2 linked regions of the Stegostoma tigrinum genome follow. The protein of the gene in region 1 interacts with the protein of each later gene in a pairwise test. Links are inferred from orthologs where the notes say so. Each region holds a gene or a part of one and is shown in the gene's direction. Other genes may lie near its edges.

Region 1 (9,633 bases):
AATGCCTGAGAACACACCCGTTTTACCGGTTGCATGTGCTTGTTATCAGGCATGTATGTGTATTGTGCATACTTGCAGGTCAATGTATCAGTGTGGGTGTTAACGCACATGGGTCAATAGATGTGTGTGCAGATGCGTTCATATACACATGTACTTACACATACACAGTTCTATGTCATAAATTTTTTAAAACATGGGAAAAGACCCTTCAGCCCATAGAACACAGATCAGTACAGCACAGGAATGGGCCCTTTAGTCCACAACGTCATACCAAACTCGAAGCCAAATGAAACTAATCCCTCCTGCCTGCCATTGGTGCATATCTTTCCATTCCTCGCATATTCATGTGCTAATCTAAAAGTCCCTTAAATATCCTGTTTGTTTCTGCCTCCACCCACCACCACTGGCAGTACATTTCAGACTCTTACCACTCTCTGTGTAAAGAACTTGCCCCCCACATCTCCTTTGAACTTGCCTCCTTTCACCTTAAATGCAGACCCCCTACTATTGGACATTTCACATCTGGGAGAAAGATTCTGACCATCAACCCTGTCTGCACCCCACAATTTTATAGAATTCTATCAAGTCTCCCCTCAGCCTCCATCGCTTCAGAGAAAACAACCTGAGTTTTTCTGGCCACTCCTTACAGCTCATATATTCTAATCTAGGTGGCATTCTGGTGAACCTCTTCTGTACCTTCTCCAAAACCTCCACATCTTTCATGTAGTGTGGCCACCAGAATTGAATGCAATACTCAAAGTGTGGCCTAACCAAAGTCTCATAAAGCTGCAATATGACATCCTGACTTTTGTCCTCAATTCCCTGACCAGTAACAGCAAGCTTGCCACACGCCTTCTGTACCACCCTATCTACTTGCATGGCCACTTTCTGGGAGCTGTGGACTTGAACCCTAAGATCCTTCTGTCCATCGATGCTGTTCAGAGTCCTGCCATTAACTGTATACTTTTCCTGAACATTTGATCTCCCAAAGTGCAGTATATCACACATAGCTAGATTAAACTCTGTCTGCCATTTCTCCGCCCATATCTGCAACTGATCCATGTCACAGTGTATCCTTTGACAACTTTCTACACTATCCACAAATCCACTGATTTTTGTATCATCTGCACACTTACTAACCAACCCATCTACATTTACACATAAGTCATTTATATTTACCACAAACAGTAGAGGCCCTAGTATGGATCCCTGTGCACTATCACTAGTCACGGGTCTCCAGCCTGAAAACACCCTTCTGTGGGCAAGCCAATTCTGAATCCACATGGCCAAGCCACTGTGGATCCCATGCATCTTAATCTTCTGGATCAAACTGCCATGAGGGACCTCGTCAGAAACCTTACTAAAATCCGTGTAAACAACATCCACTGCTCCATACTCATAGATGACCTTTGTCACCTCTTCCAAAAATTCAATCAAGTTAGTAAGACATGACCTCTCCTGCACAAAGCCTTGCTGACTGTCTCTAATTAGATCATGCTTTTCCAAATGTCTATAAATACTATCCCTAAGAATTCTCTCCAATAGCTTCCCGACCACTGATGTAAGGTTCACTGGTCTACAGCTTCATGAGTCGTCCTTATTTCCGTTCATGAACAAAGGAACAACATTAGCTACTTGCCAGTCCTCTGGGATCTCTTCAGTGGCTAGTGAGGATACAAAGATCTTAGTCAAGGACCGAACAATCTCCTCTTTTACCTCTCTCAGTAACTTGGGGTAGATACCATTGGATCCTGGGAACTTATTCACCTTAATGCTCTTCAAGAGGTCCAACAGCACTTCTTTCTTAATCTCAAAATGCCCCAGCATATTAGCATGCTCCATGCAAATCTCACTATCCTCCATATCCTTTTCCATGGTGAAAACCGGTACAAAGTACTTATTTAGGATATCACCCACATCCTCTGTCTACAAGCAAAAGTTTATCCTTTATCCTTGAAATGTCCTACCTACTCCCTAGTTATCCTTTTGTTTTTAATGTAACTGTAGAATGACTTGGGATTCTCTTTAACCCTACTTGCCAAGGTCATTTCATGGCTTCTTGTTGCTCTCTTAATTCCCAGCTTCAGTGCTTTCCTGATTTCCTTATAATCCTCTCGGGCCCTGTCTGATTTTAGCTTTCTAAACATTACATATGTTTCCTTTTTCTGTTTCGACTAAATTCACAGCTTCCCTCGTGTTCCAAAAGTCCATTACCTTACCATCTTTGTCCTTCCTCTTTACTGGAACATGCTAATGAGCTCTCATCAGCGGCCCTTTAAACAATTCCTATCATGTCCATGCATAAAGTGTCTATTTTTTGTTCCATTTTCCAACACTTGGCCTGTAACTATGTATGCTGTGGCATTTCAAGTGCTCATCTAAATACTTCTAAAATGTCTTGAGTTTTCCTGCGTTTACCACCATTTTTGGCACTGATTTCCAGATACCCACCATCCTCTGAATGAAAGCTGGTTTCTTCAAAGCCCCTCTAAACCTTCTGTCCTTTATGTTAAACCTATGTCCCTTGGGTACTGTTCCCTCTGCTGAGGGGAAAGGATTTTCCCCATGTACTCTCTCTATGCCGCGCAGAACTTCATACTACTCAATCATATGACCCCCTCCCACCCCTGTTCTAAGGAAAACAACCCCAGCCTATCTAGTCTGTCTTCATAGATGAATCGCTCCAACCCAGGCAATATCCTGATGAATCTCCTCTGCACCCTGTCTAATGCAATCACATATTTCCTACAGTGTGGTGACCAGACTTGCACACGGTACTCCAGCTATGGCCTAACTAACATTATGCAGCTCCATTATAACCTCCTTGCTCTTGAATTCAATGCCTTGACTGATCAATTTAGAAATTCCATAATGACTTCTAAACCACATACTTGTCTTGTGATCTTGAAGGATCTATGGACATCCACATTAAGGTCCCTCTGATCTTCTGTACTTCCTAGGTCCTGCAATTTATTATGTATTCCCTTGCCTTGTTAGTCCTTCCAAAATGCATCACCTCACTCTTTTCAACATTAAATTCCATTTGCCAGTGTTCAGCCCATCTGACCACTGTATCTATATCATCCTGTAGGCTAAGACTTTCCACTTCACTACTTAAAGTACCACCAATTTTTGTGTTATCTGCAAACTTACTGATCATAACTCCTCTATTCATGTCTAGATCATTAATGTGTGCTACAAGCAGCAAGGGACCCAGCAACAAAACTTGTGGTATGCCACTATACACAGGCTTCTTGTCTCACAAAAACCCTTCGATCATCATCCTCTGCTTCCTGCCACGAAGCCAATTTTGGATCTAATTCGGCAAATTGTCCAGGATCCCGTGGACTCTATGCTTCTTAATTAGTTTGTCATGCTAGCCCTTGTTGAAAGGCTTACATGTTGACTACCCTATCATTTGCACTACCCTCATTTACACACCTAATCAGCTCCCTGAAAAATTCATTCCAATTTGTGAGAAATGATCTCCTCCTTTCAAACCATGTTGACTATCTTTGATTAATCCTTGCCTTTCTAAATGAAGATTTTGTTTCTGAGAATTTTTTCCAACAGTATCCCTAATACTGATAGTAGACTCACGTTTCCCACTAGCCTGGCTTTGCTCCCTCAGAATAGGTCCAACACTGTCCTATCTCTTATAGGACTTTCTATATGTTGGTGGATGCACACACTCAAGATCAGTGTTTATGCAGATATGCACACTCATGGGTCAATGCAAAAGTCACCATAGCCCTGCTCTCTCATTAAAGAGAAATAACTGGTGGTGGTTTAACCTGAGGGTCGCAATACCTCTGGTAGCAGGAGATCCCTTTATGGTAACCTCAGCCAGTGTGGAAAGTGAACACATACTGTTAGCATCAAAAACCAGCTATCCAGCCAATTGAGTTAACCAATGAACAACAGGACTATGTCTGTAGATGTTCACAAATAGGTCAGCTTGTGTATGCATGGATGTACACACATAGGTCAGTTAGTGTGAATGTAGATGTACACACATGGATCAGTATGTGTGAGTGTGTATATGTAGAAGGATACACACGGGTCTCTGTGTGTGCGTGAGTGCAGGTGTACACACCTGGGTCAGTGTGTGTGTGAGTGTAGATGTACATACATGGGTCAGTATTTGTGTAAGCCTGTGTGCTTGTGTAATGTACACAAAAGGTCAGTGTGCATATGCTTAGATGTACACACGGGTCTGTGTGTGTTTGTGTAGATGTGCACACATAGATGTGTGTGTGTGTTTGTGTGAGTGTAGAGGCACACACTTAGGTCTGTGTGTGTGTGTGCTTGTAGATGTACGCACATGGGTCAGTGTATGTGTGAATGTGTGTGTTTGTGTCGATGTACACATAAAGGTCAGTGTGTGTGTGTGTAAGTGTAGATGTACACACATGGTCAGCATATGTGTGTTTAAATGTACAAATAGGTCAGTGTGCATGTGTTTCTGTAGATGTATACATATAGGACAGTGTATGTGTGGATATATAACAGACGAATCAGTGCATCTGTAATTAGGTGTACGCACATAAATCTGTGTGTGTGGAATACACACGTGTCAGGGTGTATGAGAGTAGATGTACACACATGGTCAGCAAATGTACATACGGGTCAGTATGCGTGTGTTTCTGCAGATGCACACACATAGGTCTGTGTGTGTGCGCGTGTGTGTGTGTATACACGCATGGGTCAGTGTGTCTATGTTTAGATGGACACACATGGGGTCAGTCTATGCGTTCACGCATGTGTAGATGTACACAAATGGGTCAGTGTATGAGTGTATAGATGTACACATGGGTCAGTGGTTGTGTGCTTGTAATGATGGTGTTGGCCTCATTTGACAGCTTCACCAGCATTTTGTTTCCAAACTTTTTGAAATCAGCTCAAATTCACTCCAAAGTGCAAAGCGAGAAGTGATTTGCGGTGCAGAGAGTTGAGGAGTCTTATCCATGATCCTAACTCTAGTTTCTATCACTGACTAGCTGTCAGTCAGTGTGCCCCCGGGTTCTGATGCTGCTCTTTATGTCCAGCGTTTACATGCTGAATGCAAAGGCCAGTGGCAACAGGAGTTTCGTGCCCAGGCTGCTCTCTGTCGGACACCCTACCTTGCCCCCTCGGCCAAACCCCCACCCCCAGGGTTAACTCCGGGGCAGCATTTACTCATTGCACCTGCAGTTTCTAACAGTTGCCCGACAAGGCGTCAGTGAGCTTTTTTTTTGAAAGCATAAAGTCAAACCCGTGCAAAGGAACTGAGTCAGCGGATTCAGTTGAGGAAGTTGAGAGAGAGAGAGAGAGAGACAGAGCAGTGTTGGCTCAGAGACTCAGCGAGTCAGTAGGACTGTTCGCATTCCGGATTTTAACATCGAGCTGCTGCCTTTCTAACTGACCACTCTTATGGAAGCTTTGCTCAGGTACAGTGCCATAGCTAGTGTCTTTCTTTTAATCAAAAAGAGAAGTCAAGACAGGTAGAGTTGAAACTTCAGAACAGAGGGAGAGATGAATTATAAACTCAGAGGCTTGTAGGTTGAGTTCTAACTACGCGTTTGGAAGGTTCGCCTCCAGATGTAGTGAAAATAGCGTTTGTCCCGGACATGAGTGGGACTGTGATCTGTCCCTTGTGCTTATTCAATGAGGTTACAGCCTGTTTACTGAGTGGAGATGAAAAACTAAACAGGGCGACAGAGAGCACAGGAACAGAAAACAAATGTCAATATTTACATTTCATAAATTATTTAAAGAATTTAAGGATTTGATGACCATTCGGCCCAATCCTAGTCTGGAAATTTAATATTAATTTGTTCTATTTTAAAATGAAATCCAGGAAAGGCTAGAAGCGCTGAGTATCCGTGAAGAGAGACTGGGACAAACTCATGGTGCTGTTGAGGACCCCTCACATTTTTTATTCACTCGTAGGATCTGGGTATCTCTGGCTGGGCCTGGAATTTATTGTCCGTCCTTAGTTGCCCATCAGAAGGTGGTTTGCGCTGCAGTCCACATATAGTGGGTTGACCCACAATGGTGTAAGCGAGGGAATTTCAGGATTTTGATCCAATGACAGTGAAGGAACAGGGGATGTATTTTCAAGTCAGGGCGGTGAGTGGCTCGGAGGGGAACTTGCAGGGGTGGTGTTTCCATGTATTTGTTGCTCTTGTCCTTCTAGATGGAAGTGGTCGTAGGTTTGGAAGGTGCTGCCTGAGAATCCTTGGTGAATTTCTGCAGTTCATCTTGTAGATGGTACACACTGCTGTTACTGGTGGAGGGAGTGAATGGTTCTGGGTGTAGTGCCAATCAAGCGGCTGCTTTGTCCTGGATGGTGTCAAGTTTCTTGAGTGTTGTTGGGGCTGCACCAATCCAGGCAAGTGGGGAGTATTCCATCACACTCCTGACTCATGCCTTGTAGATGTGGACAGGCTTTGGACAGTCAGGAGATGAATTAGTCGCCGCAGTATTCCTAGCCTCTGACCTGCTCTCATAGCCACCACATTTATGTGGCAAGTCCAGGTGAGTTTTTGGTCAATGGTAACCCCCAGAATGTTGATAGTGGGGGATTCAGTGATGTTAAAGCCATTGAATGTCAAAGGGCAGTGGTTAGATTGTCCATTATTGGAGATGGTCATAACCTGGCATTTGTGTGACACAATTGTTATTTGCTACTTGTCAGCCCAAGCCTGGAAATTGTCCAGATCCTGTTGCATTTGAATGTGGACTGCATCAGTATCTGAGGAGTTGTAAGTGGTGCTGAAAATAGTGCAATCATCAATGAACACCCCCACTTCTGACCTCATTTAATTTTAATTCACTCAGGGGAATAGGCATCACTGTTTGGGCCAGTGTTTATTGCCCATTCCTAGTTGCTCTTGAGAAGGTGGTAGTGTGCTGTCTTCTTGAACTGCTGAGGTCCACATGCTGAAGGATGACCCAACAATGTCGTTAGGGAGAGGATTCCAGTACTGTGATCCAGCGACAGTGAAGGAGTGGCAATATATTTCCAATTCAGGATGGTGAGTGGCTTGGAGGGGAACTTGCAGGGGGTAGTGTTCCCACCTAACTACTGGCTTTGTTCTTCAAGGTGGAAGTGGTTAGAAGTTTGGAAGGTGCTGTCTAAAGATCTTTATTTTGGAGACTAGGTCATTTATGAAGTAATTGAAGAGGGTTGGGCTGAGGACATGAACGTGAAGAACTCCTACAGAAATGTCCTGGAGCTGAGAAAACTGACCTCCAACGACAATGACCATCTTCCAATGTGCATATGACTCCAACCAGCAAACAGTTTGCCCCCAATGCCCATAGATTCAAGTTTTGTTAGGATTCCCTTATGCCACACTCAGTCATATGCAACCTTGATGCCACTCCTACCTCACCTCTAGAATTGAGCTCTTTTGTCTATGTTTGAACCAAGACTTGTAATTGGCCACATTGGATTTCGAGTCATGGAGATATAAAACACCGAAACAGACCCTTTGGCCCAACTTATCCACGCTGACCAGACATCCGATTCTGACCTAGTCCCATATGCCAGCATTTGGCCCATATCCCTCTAAGACCCTTCCTATTCATATACCCACCCAGATGTCTTTTAAACGCTGTCATTATACCAGCCTCCACCACTTCCTCTGGCAGCACATTCCATACATGCAAAACCCTTTGCGTGAGAAAGTTGCCCCTTAGGTGCCTTTTCTATCTTGCCCTACTTACCTTAAACCTATGCCCTCTAGTTTTTGATTCCCCATCCCAGGGAAAAGACCTTGTCTATTTACCCTATCCATGCCTCTCATGATTTTATGAACCTCTATAAGTGTCAGCCTCTGACAGTTGGGGGAAATAGCCCCAGTCTATCTCTCCCTATAGCTGAAACCCTCCAACCCTGGCAAAATCCTCATAAATCTTTCCTAAACCCTTTCAAGTTTCACAACATTTCTCCTTTGGAAGGGATGTGATAATGGGAATTGCAGATGCTGGAGAATCCAAGATAATAAAATGTGAGGCTGGATGAACACAGCAGTCCCAGCAGCATCTCAGGAGCACAAAAGCTGACGTTCTGGGCCTAGATGAAGGGTCTAGGCCCGAAACATCAGCTTTTGTGCTCCTGAGATGCTGCTGCGCCTGCTGTGTTCATCTAGCCTCACATTGTATTATCCTTTGGAAGGGAGACTGGTTGATGCTCTCAACCATCTCCACCTCAGTTCCACTGATGTAGATAAGAGCTATTTACCCTATCCATGCTCTTCTTTATTTTATAAATATCTTAAGATCACCCTTCAGTCCCTGATGTTTCAGGGAAGAGCCCCTGCCAATTTAGCATCTCTGTGTAGCTCAAACTCTTCAGTCCTATCACCATCCTTGTAAATCTTTTCTGCACCTTTTCAAGTTTAACAACATCTTTCCTGTAGAAGGGTGACCAGAATTGTATGCAGTATTTCAGAAGCGGCCTCATTAATGTCCTGTACAGCTGCAACATGACATCCCAACTCCTAAACTCTATGCACTGAACAATGAAGGCAAGCATGCCAAATGCCTTCATCACCATCATGCCTACCTACAGCTCCACTTTCAAGGACCTATGCTCCTGCACCCTTAGATCTCTTTGTTGGTAACACTCCCCAAGACTCTACCATTAACTGTATAGGCCCTGCCCTGGTTTCTTCACAAAATGCAACATCTCACATTTATCTAAATTAAACTTGGTCTGCCATTTCTCAGCCCATTGGCCCATCTAATCAGCTGTTGTACTCTGAGACAATCTTCTTCACTGTCCACTGCAACACCTATTTCGGTATCATCTGTAAACTTACCTAAATGATGAAAAGCAGTGGACTAGTACTGATCCTTGTGGCAACCACTGGTCACAAGCCTCCAGTCCAAAAAACTACCGTCCACCACCACCCTCTTTCTCCTACCTTCAACACTTTTATATCCAATTAGCTAGCTCCCCCTGGATTCTATGCAATCTAACGTTTCTAACCAGACTACTATGTGGAATCTTGTCAAATGCTTTGCTAAAGTCCGTATAGGCAATGTTTACTGCACTGCCTTCATTAATCTTCTTTGGCCCCCCTTCAAAGATCTGAATCAAGTTCGTCAGATACAATTTCCCATGTACAAAGCCATGCTGACTATTCCTAGTCAGTCCTTGCCTTTCCAAATGCATGTCAATTCTAACCCTCAGAATCCCCTCCAACAACTTACCCACCACTGATATAAAATTCACCGTTCTATGGTTCCCTGTTCTTTCCTTACAGTGTAAATAATGGCACCACATTAGCCAACCTTCAGTCTGCCAGCACCTCACCAAGTGGCTATTGAAGGGGCCCAGCAATCATTTCCCTAGCTTTCCACAGAGAGGTCTGGGAAACAAAGTTCTGATCAGGTCCAGGGAATTTATCTCCCTTTATGTGTGTTAAGTCCTCCAGTATCTGTTCTGCTGTAATATGAACTCTTTTCAAGATATCATTCTTTATTTCTCCAAGTTCCCTGGCTATCAAGTCCTTCTCCACATTAAGTACTGTGTACAGGACAGACCTGGGAAATTTTCCACATTGCTGTGTGGATACCAGTGTTGTAACAGTACAGGAACAGCTTGGCTAGGGGAGCAGCAAGTTCTGGAGCACAAGTCTT
Region 2 (10,225 bases), on another chromosome or scaffold:
TGGCCCATAGCCCTCTAAACCCTTCCTATTTGTGTACCCATCCACATGCCTTTTAAATGTTCTAATTGTACCAGGCTGTACCAACTTTTCTGGCAGCTCATTCCCTAAATGCACCACCCTCTGCGTGAAGAGGTTGCCCTTTAAATCTTTCCGCTCTCACCTTTAAACCTCTGCCCTCTAGTTTGGACTCCCTCCACTGCAGGGAAAAGACTTTGTCTATTTACCCCATCCGTTCCCCTGATGATTTTACAAACCCCTATCAGGTCACCCTGAGCCTCTGACACTCCAGAGAAAACAGCTCCAGTCTATTCAGCCTCTCCCTACAGCTCAAACCCTCCAACGCTGGCGACATTCTTGTACATCTTTTCTGAAACCTTTCAAGTTTCACAACAGGGAGGCCAGAATTGCACACACTATTCCAATAGTTCCGAACCAATGTCCCATACAGCTGGCTCCATGTCCACCCAACTCCTGTGCTCAATGCACTAATCAATAAAGGCAAGCATAGCAAATGCCGTAACTATCCTGTTTCCCTGCAACTCCACTTTCAAGGAACTATGAACATGGATTCCAAGGTGTCTTTGTTCAGCAACACTCCCCAGAACTTTATCATTAAGTCCTGCCCTGAGTAGTCTTTCCAAAACGCAGCAGCTCACATTCAACTCCATCTGCCACTTCGCGGCCTAGTGGCCCATCTGATAAAGATCTCATTGTACTGAGGTAACCTTCTTCGCTGTCCTCCACATCTCCGACAAGGCTGAGGAGCAGGTGGTAGACATTCGAATCCTCTACACGATCATGGCTGATCTCAAATAAACTTTACTGACTACACACTAGAACCGCTGATCCCTTCTTTATCAGAACCACCCTAACTTAACCTTGTCAAGATACTGAATGATGCAGCCTCTGCTGCTTTCTGGGACAGAAAAGTTCACTTCACATATGTATCTAAACCCAGGGACCTTTTACTCTTAGATAACAAAGTGTGGGGCTGGATGAACACAGCAGGCCAAGCAACATCTTAGGAGCACAAAAGCTGACGTTTCAGGGCTAGGCCCTTCATCAGATTTTAGTCTGCCCCACATGAGGGAACATTCTCGCGTTATCCACCCTACCAAGTTCCCTCAGGATCAGATCTCCACAAGGTAACCTCTTGTTCTTTTAAACTTCAATGCTAACACAGCAACCTGTTCAACCTCTCATAAGCCCTTCGTTCTGGGAATGAGCTAAGTTAACTTTCTCTGAACTGTGTGGAAGAAAACTATATCCTATACAGCTGCAGTTAAACTTTGACTTGGATATCATATTCCCCTTGCAATGAACAATATTTCATCCTGCTTCCTAATCATTTGCTGTGTCTACATACTTAATTTTAAAAGCCTTGTACCACAACACTCAGATGTATTCTGCATTACCATCAGTTAAATAGCATACTGCTATTCTATTCTTCCTGCCAAAATAAAAACGTTGCTAACTTTCTACATTATATCCCTTCTGAAAACTTGTACCCATTCACTTCACCTTGCTATAATACTTTGCAGATCTACCTCATCTTGGCAACTTTACTTTTCTACCTCCCTTGGTATTATCAACTTTTGATCGCATATGTTCGGTACAGTTATTGAAAAAATGAATATGTATTATAAACAATTGAGAAACCAGTGGAGACCCATGACTGTCAACCCAAAAAGAATCTTGTCTTATTCTCTGCTTCCTGTAAGCCAATCAAATCTTCAGACATGTTTATTTGATACCATCTACACCACAAGCTGTTTGATTTGGCTGCTTATAAAATTACAATTGGACATCTAAAGACACCATAACTACTTGTTTCCATCTATCCATTATGAGAGTCACTTTAAAACTAAAAGAACTGCAAATGCTGTAAAATCAGGACCAAAAACAAAGTTGCTGGAAAGGTTCAGCAGGTCTGGCACCATCTGTGACGGAGAAATCAGAGTTAATGTTTTGGGTCCGGAGACCCTTCCTCAGAACTTGATTAAACAGGCTTTCCTATTCATATAGTGTCAGGTCTGCTGGATAACACCATTTTCCAAGTAACTTTATATAACCTCCTTAATAATGGGATCTACAATATTTCTGACAACTGATTTTTAAGGTAACTGATTTTTAAGATTTGAACATATCCTTGTTTCCAAATCCAGTCTTCTGGTACCTTCCCAAAATGGAAGAAATTGTTGGAGATTACAAAGAAAAGATCCTCTATCTGTGCAAGATAATAAAATGTGAGGCTGGATGAACACAGCAGGCAAAGCAGCATCTCAGGAGCACAAAAGCTGACATTTCGGGCCTAGACCCTTCATCAGAGAGGGGGATGGGGTGAGGGTTCTGGAATAAATAGGGAGCGAGGGGGAGGCGGACCGAAGATGGAGAGAAAAGAAGATAGGTGGAGAGAGTATAGGTGGGGAGGTAGGGAGGGGATAGGTCAGTCCAGGGAAGACAGACAGGTCAAGGAGGTGGGATGAGGTTAGTAGGTAGATGGGGGTGTGGCTTGGGGTGGGAGGAAGGGATGGGTGAGAGGAAGAACAAGTTAGGGAGACAGAGACAGGTTGGACTGGTTTTGGGATGCACTGGGTGGAGGGGAAGAGCTGGGCTGGTTTAGGGATGCGGTGGGGGAAGGGGAGATTTTGAAACTGGTGAAGTCCACATTGATACCATTAAGCTGCAGGGTTCCCAGGCGGAATATGAGTTGCTGTTCCTGCAACCTACGGGTGGCATCATTGTGGCACTGCAGGAGGCCCATGATGGACATGTCATCTAAAGAATGGGAGGGGGAGTGGAAATGGTTTGCGACAGGGAGGTGCAGTTGTTTGTTGCGAACTGAGCGGAGGTGTTCTGCAAAGCGGTCCCCAAGCCTCCGCTTGGTTTCCCCAATGTAGAGGAAGCCACACCGGGTACAGTGGATGCAGTATACCACATTGGCAGATGTGCAGGTGAACCTCTGCTTAATGTGGAATGTCATCTTGGGGCCTGGGATAGGGGTGAGGGAGGAGGTGTGGGGGCAAGTGTAGCATTTCCTGCGGTTGCAGGGGAAGGTGCTGGGTGTGGTGGGGTTGGAGGGCAGTGTGGAGCGAACAAGGGAGTCACGGAGAGAGTGGTCTCTCCGGAAAGCAGACAGGGGTGGGGATGGAAAAATGTCTTGGGTGGTGGGGGTCGGATTGTAGTTGGCGGAAGTGTCGGATGATGTGTTGTATCTGGAGGTTGGTGGGGTGGTGTGTGAGAACGAGGGGGATCCTCTTAGGGCGGTTGTGGCGGGGGCGGGGTGTGAGGGATGTGTTGCGGGAAATGCGGGAGACGCGGTCAAGGGCGTTCTCGATCACTGTGGGGAGAAAGTTGCGGTCCTTGAAGAACTTGGACATCTGGGATGTGCGGGAGTGGAATGTCTTATCGTGGGAGCAGATGTGGCGGAGGCGGAGGAATTGGGAATAGGGGATGGAATTTTTGCAGGAGGGTGGGCGAGAGGAGGTGTATTCTAGGTAGCTGTGGGAGTCGGTGGGCTTGAAATGGACATCAGTTACAAGCTGGTTGCCTGAGATGGAGACAGAGAGGTCCAGGAAGGTGAGGGATGTGCTGGAGATGGCCCAGGTGAACTGAAGGTTGGGGTGGAAGGTGTTGGTGAAGTGGATGAACTGTTCGAGCTCCTCTGGGGAGCAAGAGGCGGCGCCGATACAGTCATCACTGTACCGGAGGAAGAGGTGGGGTTTGGGGCCTGTGTAGGTGCGGAAGAGGGACTGTTCCACGTAACCTACAAAGAGGCAGGCATAGCTGGGGCCCATGCGGGTGCCCATGGCCACCCCCTTAGTCTGTAGGAAGTGGGAGGAGTCAAAAGAGAAGTTGTTGAGGGTGACCGCCCAGTTCGTCCCCTCCCCCCACTGCACCACACAACCAGCCCAGCTCTTCCCCTCCACCCAGTGCATCCCAAAACCAGTCCAACCTGTCTCTGCCTCCCTAACAGGTTCTTCCTCTCACCCATCCCTTCCTACCACCCCGAGCTGCACCCCCATCTACCTACTAACGTCATCCCACCTCCTTGACCTGTCCGTCTTCCCTGGACTGACCTATCCCCTCCCTACCCTACCTCCCCACCTATACTCTCTCCACCTATCTTCTTTTCTCTCCATCTTCGGTCCGCCTCCCCCTCTCTCCCTATTTATTCCAGAACCCTCACCCCATCCCCCTCTCTGAAGAAGGGTCTAGGCCCGAAACTTCAGCTTTTGTGCTCCTGAGATGCTGCTTTGCCTGCTGTGTTCATCCAGCCTCACATTTTATTATCTTGGATTCTCCAGCATCTGCAGTTCCCATTATCTCTATCTGTGCAGCCAGTTCTCTTTAAGATCTTTGGATATAGGCCATTGGATCCTGGCACTTTTGCTTTGGTGATAGTGATTACATTTTTTCGAAATGCATTCCTCCCTATCACCTCGTGACTGTTTGCTTATCTTTGGGAAGACTTTCCCCAGTCTCCTGACAAGTAGACAGCTACAAACCATGCGTTCAAAGTCTCAGACGTCCCCGGAAGACTAACACTAGCTTTCGTTACTTTTTTTACCAGTTGTTGAAGTATTTGCCAAAGTTCTTCCAATCTGTTTTTATGCTGCTGGCAACCTTTCCCTGACACCATCCACCTTTCCTTTAACGTAAAAGCCAGACCAAAGACTAATCTTGGGAGGGGCAGGAAAGTCTAACGTTTCAGGTTGGGGCCCTTTCCTACTCCTCAGAAACTGTCTGACCTGGTACGAGCCTCCAACTCCATACTTTATCAACTCATACTTCCAGCATCTGCAGTCCTTGCCATCTCCTAGCCTTTGGGGTTTGTAAAAGGAAAATTAAAAGCAGTTTTTCATTTCAACTGAACACTGATCTTCACCCAGCTAACAATCCTTTTGTAAGAGTTTTCCCTTGCTCACTGGGCCAAAACCAGAATGTAGACCCTCACAGAACTGGTACCTCCCGGCACCACGAGCAACGCTCTGACCTATTAATTCCGAATCGGTTAGGGAAGGATACCCAGACTGAGGATACACGCCCCTGGGCCCGTCCCACCCTGGGGACAGTAGTTGCGGTGGTAACTCTCCCCTCACCAACAAACCCACGGCCACTCGCCACAAGCACCGCGCCAAAGCCCGCGACAGGAGGACACACCCGGCATCGCCTTGCCGCCCCTCATTGGCCGAGGGGTACACACTAGCTCTCCACTCATTGGAGGAAAAAAAACTCCGTCATCCAAACGACCGTTGCCCGCGTGCTCCCACCCCCAACCACCGCGACCCCTTAAGGCCTCGGCCGAGATGTTCTTCCCATTCGCTGAGGCGTACACACCGTCTCCCGGCTCATTGGCGGAAAAGGGAGTAGGCCCGAAACATCAGCCTCGCGACTCCTCTGCTGATGCTGCTTGGCCTGCTGTGTTCATCCAGCTCCACACCTTGTTATCTCATTAGAGGAAACAGTCCGTCATCCAATCCGCACTATGTTCGTCCCCACCCCGCTTCCCGATTGGCTCTCTGGTGGGGGCGGGAACTGCGCTCCTACGGCTCTGCCCATATGTCACTCAGACTGAGGCACGTGCTGTCTTTCTCGCGCGACGCCCGACGCCGGCGCTAGACTTTCTGCAAAGGTCTTTGCCTCTCACCCTCGCTGCCTACCATGAGCGGCTGGATAGGATTGACGTCCACCGGTATAAGACTGGGTTCAGAGATAATGGGAACTGCAGATGCTGGAGAATTCCAAGATAATAAAATGTGAGGCTGGATGAACACAGCAGGCCAAGCAGCATCTCAGGAGCACAAAAGCTGACGCTTCGGGCCTAGACCCTTCATCAGAGAGCCCCTCTGATGAAGGGTCTAGGCCCGAAACGTCAGCTTTTGTGCTCCTGAGATGCTGCTTGGCCTGCTGTGTTCGTCCAGCCTCACATTTTATTATCTAAGACTGGGTTCAGTTGACCGAACGCATTTACCCCTTTATTATGGAGCCGAGGAGGTGTCGTTGGTTAGTTGACAAAAATACTTTAGAGGTTGGCTTTCAGTTAACAGATACTGTGTTGCCTTTGGAAAGGGGGTGGACGGAGAAGTTCTGATTAATTGCTGGGTTGTCGCTGTCTGAAACAGAGCGTTGGGAAAATGCGGACCCCGAGCCGGCGCGCATGCGCGTTTGGAGTCGCGCCGGCGGCTGTGGGGCGGGCATGTGGCTGCAGTACTCAGAGCATGCGCGGAGGTCCTGGAGAAAGGGTGTGTTGTGCGCCTGCGTGGTTGCCGCTCAGGAAAAATGGCGCTGAACCTCAGTCGCAATGGGCCCGTTCTGCAGGCTGCCTATCAGGATGTGGTAAACGACAAGGCCGCTACTGACTGGTGAGTTGTGGTCAGGGCGAAAGAAGATTCAGTAGGTTCCAGATTGAACCTGGATTTTGAGGAGGGGAAGGGAAAGCGGAAGGTTGCAGGTGGTCGGGAGTAGAGGCTCCTTTTCGAGTTTGTTGAAGGTGTAACATTGACTGATGAAGTTTGGTTGCTGGGTGTGGTGTTCGTTTGTGTGGAGAAGGACTCGAGCCTTTCGACGCCGGGGGTTGTTCGGCCCGTTGTGTCTATGGTGCCTCTCCCGATCAGACTTTGACTCTGTACTGTTGCCATGCCTCCCTGTGCACACATTCTGAGAATCCCTACAGTGTGGAAACAGCCCTTTAGCCCAACAAGTTCCACACTAACCCTCTCGGCATCCCACCTAGATCCATCCCCCTATAAACCCACCTAATCTACACATCCCTGAACATTATGGGCAATTTAGTATGGCCAGTCCACCTAACCTGCTCATCTTTGGACTGTGGGAGGAAACCAGAGCACCTGGAAGAAACCCACACAGACATAAGGAGAATATGCAAACTTCACACTGACAGTTGCCTGGGGGGTAAAATTGAACCCAGGTCCCTCATGAGGCAGCAGTGCTAACCACTGAGCCACCGTGCTGCCAGACAACAGTCAAAAATCTTATCTGAATGTCTCCAGTCACCTTAACTCCACTGCCCACTCGGGTTCTAGCTGCCAGCCACTTGCTGCATGAAAGGAAGTTCTCCTCTTGATGTTTTTTTTGTCAATGAGTTTAATCTGTGACCTCTGGCTTCCATTAGTTGCATTGTTTTTTTTGTTTTTATCCAGACTTGGGATTGGATTTTGAATATGATTTTGAATACCTTTGTCAAATCATCTTCCAGTCTTCTCTGAAAATTACGTCTGCAGTCACTCACTTGCAATCACAATCTTATTTCACTGAAATTCTTATCCCCAGAATCATTTATGGAGTATACACTTGTATTTCCAGAAGAGCTGTGCCAAAGCTACATGGTAGATGGATGATAATTTAATGGGATCCAATAATAAATTCTGTTGGGCTTTAGCTTATGAGAATGACCAGGAGGTGTATATTTGTATTTACATTTGAGTATAAATTAAGTGGTTATAATTGCTGATAATAGCCTAAATTGGCCATGTAGTTGATGCAGCGTAAGTTGTAAATGATAGCAAGATGCTGTGCATTGACTTGGTGAGTGAAACTAAATGTTAAAGAATAAATGAGATATGTGAATGGGTAAAGCAAACAAATTTAAGGGGTGGAGTAGAATTGTTTGAATTAAGTTTGGCTTGTTCACATGAATGTTAATAGATTACAACTTGCCACTTGCGGTGCTATTGTAGGTGCAAAGGTAGTGAGGTATAGAATCTTAGCACAAAGCAGAAAAATAAAGAAAACAAAGTTTTATAAAAAGTGAAACATTACTGTCCTCCTTTGTAAGAAGTAGAAAAGCAAAGGAACACAGTTAATAGTTAAACACAATAGTCCATAAGGACCTGGCCACTTCGAGTTTGCACTCAATGACTTGACCTCTCCCCTGTCACTACTCTGGGCTGGCTGCTGTTCCTGCTCCCACTTCCGCCTTGGAGTGCCAGCTACCCTGGGCTGCCAGTACTTGCTGCCTAACAGCCTGCGGCTGCTCTTGCTGCCAAATACCTTGCAGGAGCAGCAGCCCACGTGCATGCTATTCAGCCACCATCTTGAAAGGGATTGGATATAGATCTTGAGGAAGAAAGGGACTTTAGAACCAATGCAATTAGATCCCTGTAAGTGACAGAACAAGTAAGGTACTATAAGAAGGCATATACAATTCTTTCCGTTTTTAACTGTGGAACAGGAAGTCAGTGTAAAGAGTTATGCCAGGACACTGATAAAGAATTGGATGTTTATCAGAAAACCATGAGTATTGATTAATGCACATATTTGGGATGGAAGACAGTGTCATAAAGCATGCCTTAGGGATTTATGTTGGGACATTCCCTGAGATATGTTACAAGTGTAGGCCGTCTTGTGCAAGGGCATAATTACCAAGGTTGCAGAGGATGCAAAACTATGAAACATATTTAACCAAGGAGAATGGTGTAGAATTTCAAAATGACGGAAGAATTCATGGAATGTGCTGATAGGCAGTTGATGAAACTTGGTGTAGAGATGTGTAAAGTTTGGTAGGAAGAACATGGAAAAATAATGAAAAAAAACTTGAAAAGGGGTGCAGGAACAGCAGAAACTGGATGAATAGGTGGAAAAATCATTACAGATGACAGGACAGTTTGAGGAAAAAAATACTCAAGCAGTCAGTATCCAAGGCTTTATTCACAGGACATAGAGTACAACAGCAAGTAGGTTGTGTTGAACTTGGATAAGTTGCTAGTTTGGCCTCAGCTTGCAGTACTGCATCTAGTTCAGTGTGCTGCATTTAAGAATGGATGTAAAGACGGAGATAGTGCAGAAGATGTTTTTGGAAATGTTTCGAGGATTGAGAAATCTCAGATATGAGGATAGATTAAAGAAATCAGATCTGTTTTATTAGAAGCAAAGAAAGCTGAAAGATGTTTGACTTTGGTCAAGGACTGTGAAAGAAGAACTTGAGCTGTTAAACAAACAGGAAGAACAGGAAATCAGGAACTAGTGATTGCACAACACCAGCCACATGGCAAAATTTGCATGCTTTATGCTGATTTGTTCATGTCGCCACTTGGATTTTAGTTTAACTGCCAAAATGCAATCATGAGCACGCTCCATCTGTGATAACAAAGTGTGGAGCTGGATGAACACAGCAGGCCAAGCAGCATCCTAGGAGCACAAAAGCTGACGTTTCGGGCCTAGACCCTTCATCAGAAAAGGGGGATAGGGAGAGGGGGAGGCGGACTGAAGATGGATAGAGGAGAAGATAAGTGGAGAGGAGAGTATGGGTGGGGAGGTAGGGAGGGGATAGGTCAGTCCGGACAGGTCAAGGAGGCAGTATGAGGTTAGTAGGTAGGAAAGGGAGGTGGGAGGAGGGATAGGTGAGAAGAACAACATGTTAGGGAGGCAGGGATGAGCTAGGGTGGCCTTGGGATGCAGTGGGGGGGAGGGGAGATTTTTGAAGCTGGTGAAATCCGCATTGATACCATCAGGCTGCAGGGTTCCCAAGCGGAATATGAGTTGCTGTTCCTGCAACTTGGGGTGGCATCATTATGGTACTGCAGGAGGCCCAGGATGGACATGTCATCTGAGGAATGGGAGGGGGAGTTAAAATGGTTCGCGACTGGGAGGTGGAGATGTTTATTGCGAACTGAGCGGAGGTGTTCTGCAAAGCGGTCCCCAAGCCTCCGCTTGGTTTCCCCAATGTAGGGGAAGCCACACCGGGTACAGTGGATGCAGTGTATCACATTGGCGGATGTGCAGGTGAACATCTGCTTGATGTAGAAAGTCATCTTGGGGCCTGGGATGGTGGTGAGGGAGGAGGTGTGAGGGCAAGTGTAGCACTTGCTGCGATTGCCGGGGCAAGTGCCGGGTGTGGTGGGGTTGGAGGGGAGTGTGGAGCGGACAAGAGAGTCACGGAGAGACTCCATCTGTGACTTTGGTTTGACTTTTCTTGGTGCCACCTCCTAACCTCGACTCCCATTGCTTGAGCAAAGCCTTGCTTTGTACATCTGCAATTTACTTTATGTTCAGATTGTTATTCGCTGATAAGCAATTTAGTATGTGGGCCTGTTCCTAATCACTGATTACCAACAGGTCTACATTGGTGCTTGTGGTACACGGACAACTTGTATTATTCGTTCTGGTTAAACTGAAAAAGCTTATCTAACCCTACAGTTCCTTTTCCACTCTGAGTACTTCCAGCTTCTTAAATGATTTACATCATTCATCTCAAACACTCCCT

The links. The genes of interacting proteins can lie anywhere in the genome.
Region 2: the proteins of sh3bp2 (region 1) and dbnlb interact in binary tests that used the Homo sapiens proteins (3 or more experiments, as listed by UniProt). The link is inferred for Stegostoma tigrinum from reciprocal best matches to the Homo sapiens genes SH3BP2 and DBNL.

What each region holds. Positions count from the first base shown.
Region 1 is NC_081356.1:130,334,819-130,344,451, reverse strand, and holds the start of sh3bp2 (SH3 domain-binding protein 2), read left to right. Parts: upstream 1-5,328; 5' UTR 5,329-5,429; intron 5,430-9,633. UniProt on the Homo sapiens protein: Binds differentially to the SH3 domains of certain proteins of signal transduction pathways. Binds to phosphatidylinositols; linking the hemopoietic tyrosine kinase fes to the cytoplasmic membrane in a phosphorylation dependent mechanism.
Region 2 is NC_081393.1:1,036,367-1,046,591, forward strand, and holds the start of dbnlb (drebrin-like b), read left to right. Parts: upstream 1-6,221; 5' UTR 6,222-6,282; coding exon 6,283-6,365; intron 6,366-10,225. UniProt on the Homo sapiens protein: Adapter protein that binds F-actin and DNM1, and thereby plays a role in receptor-mediated endocytosis.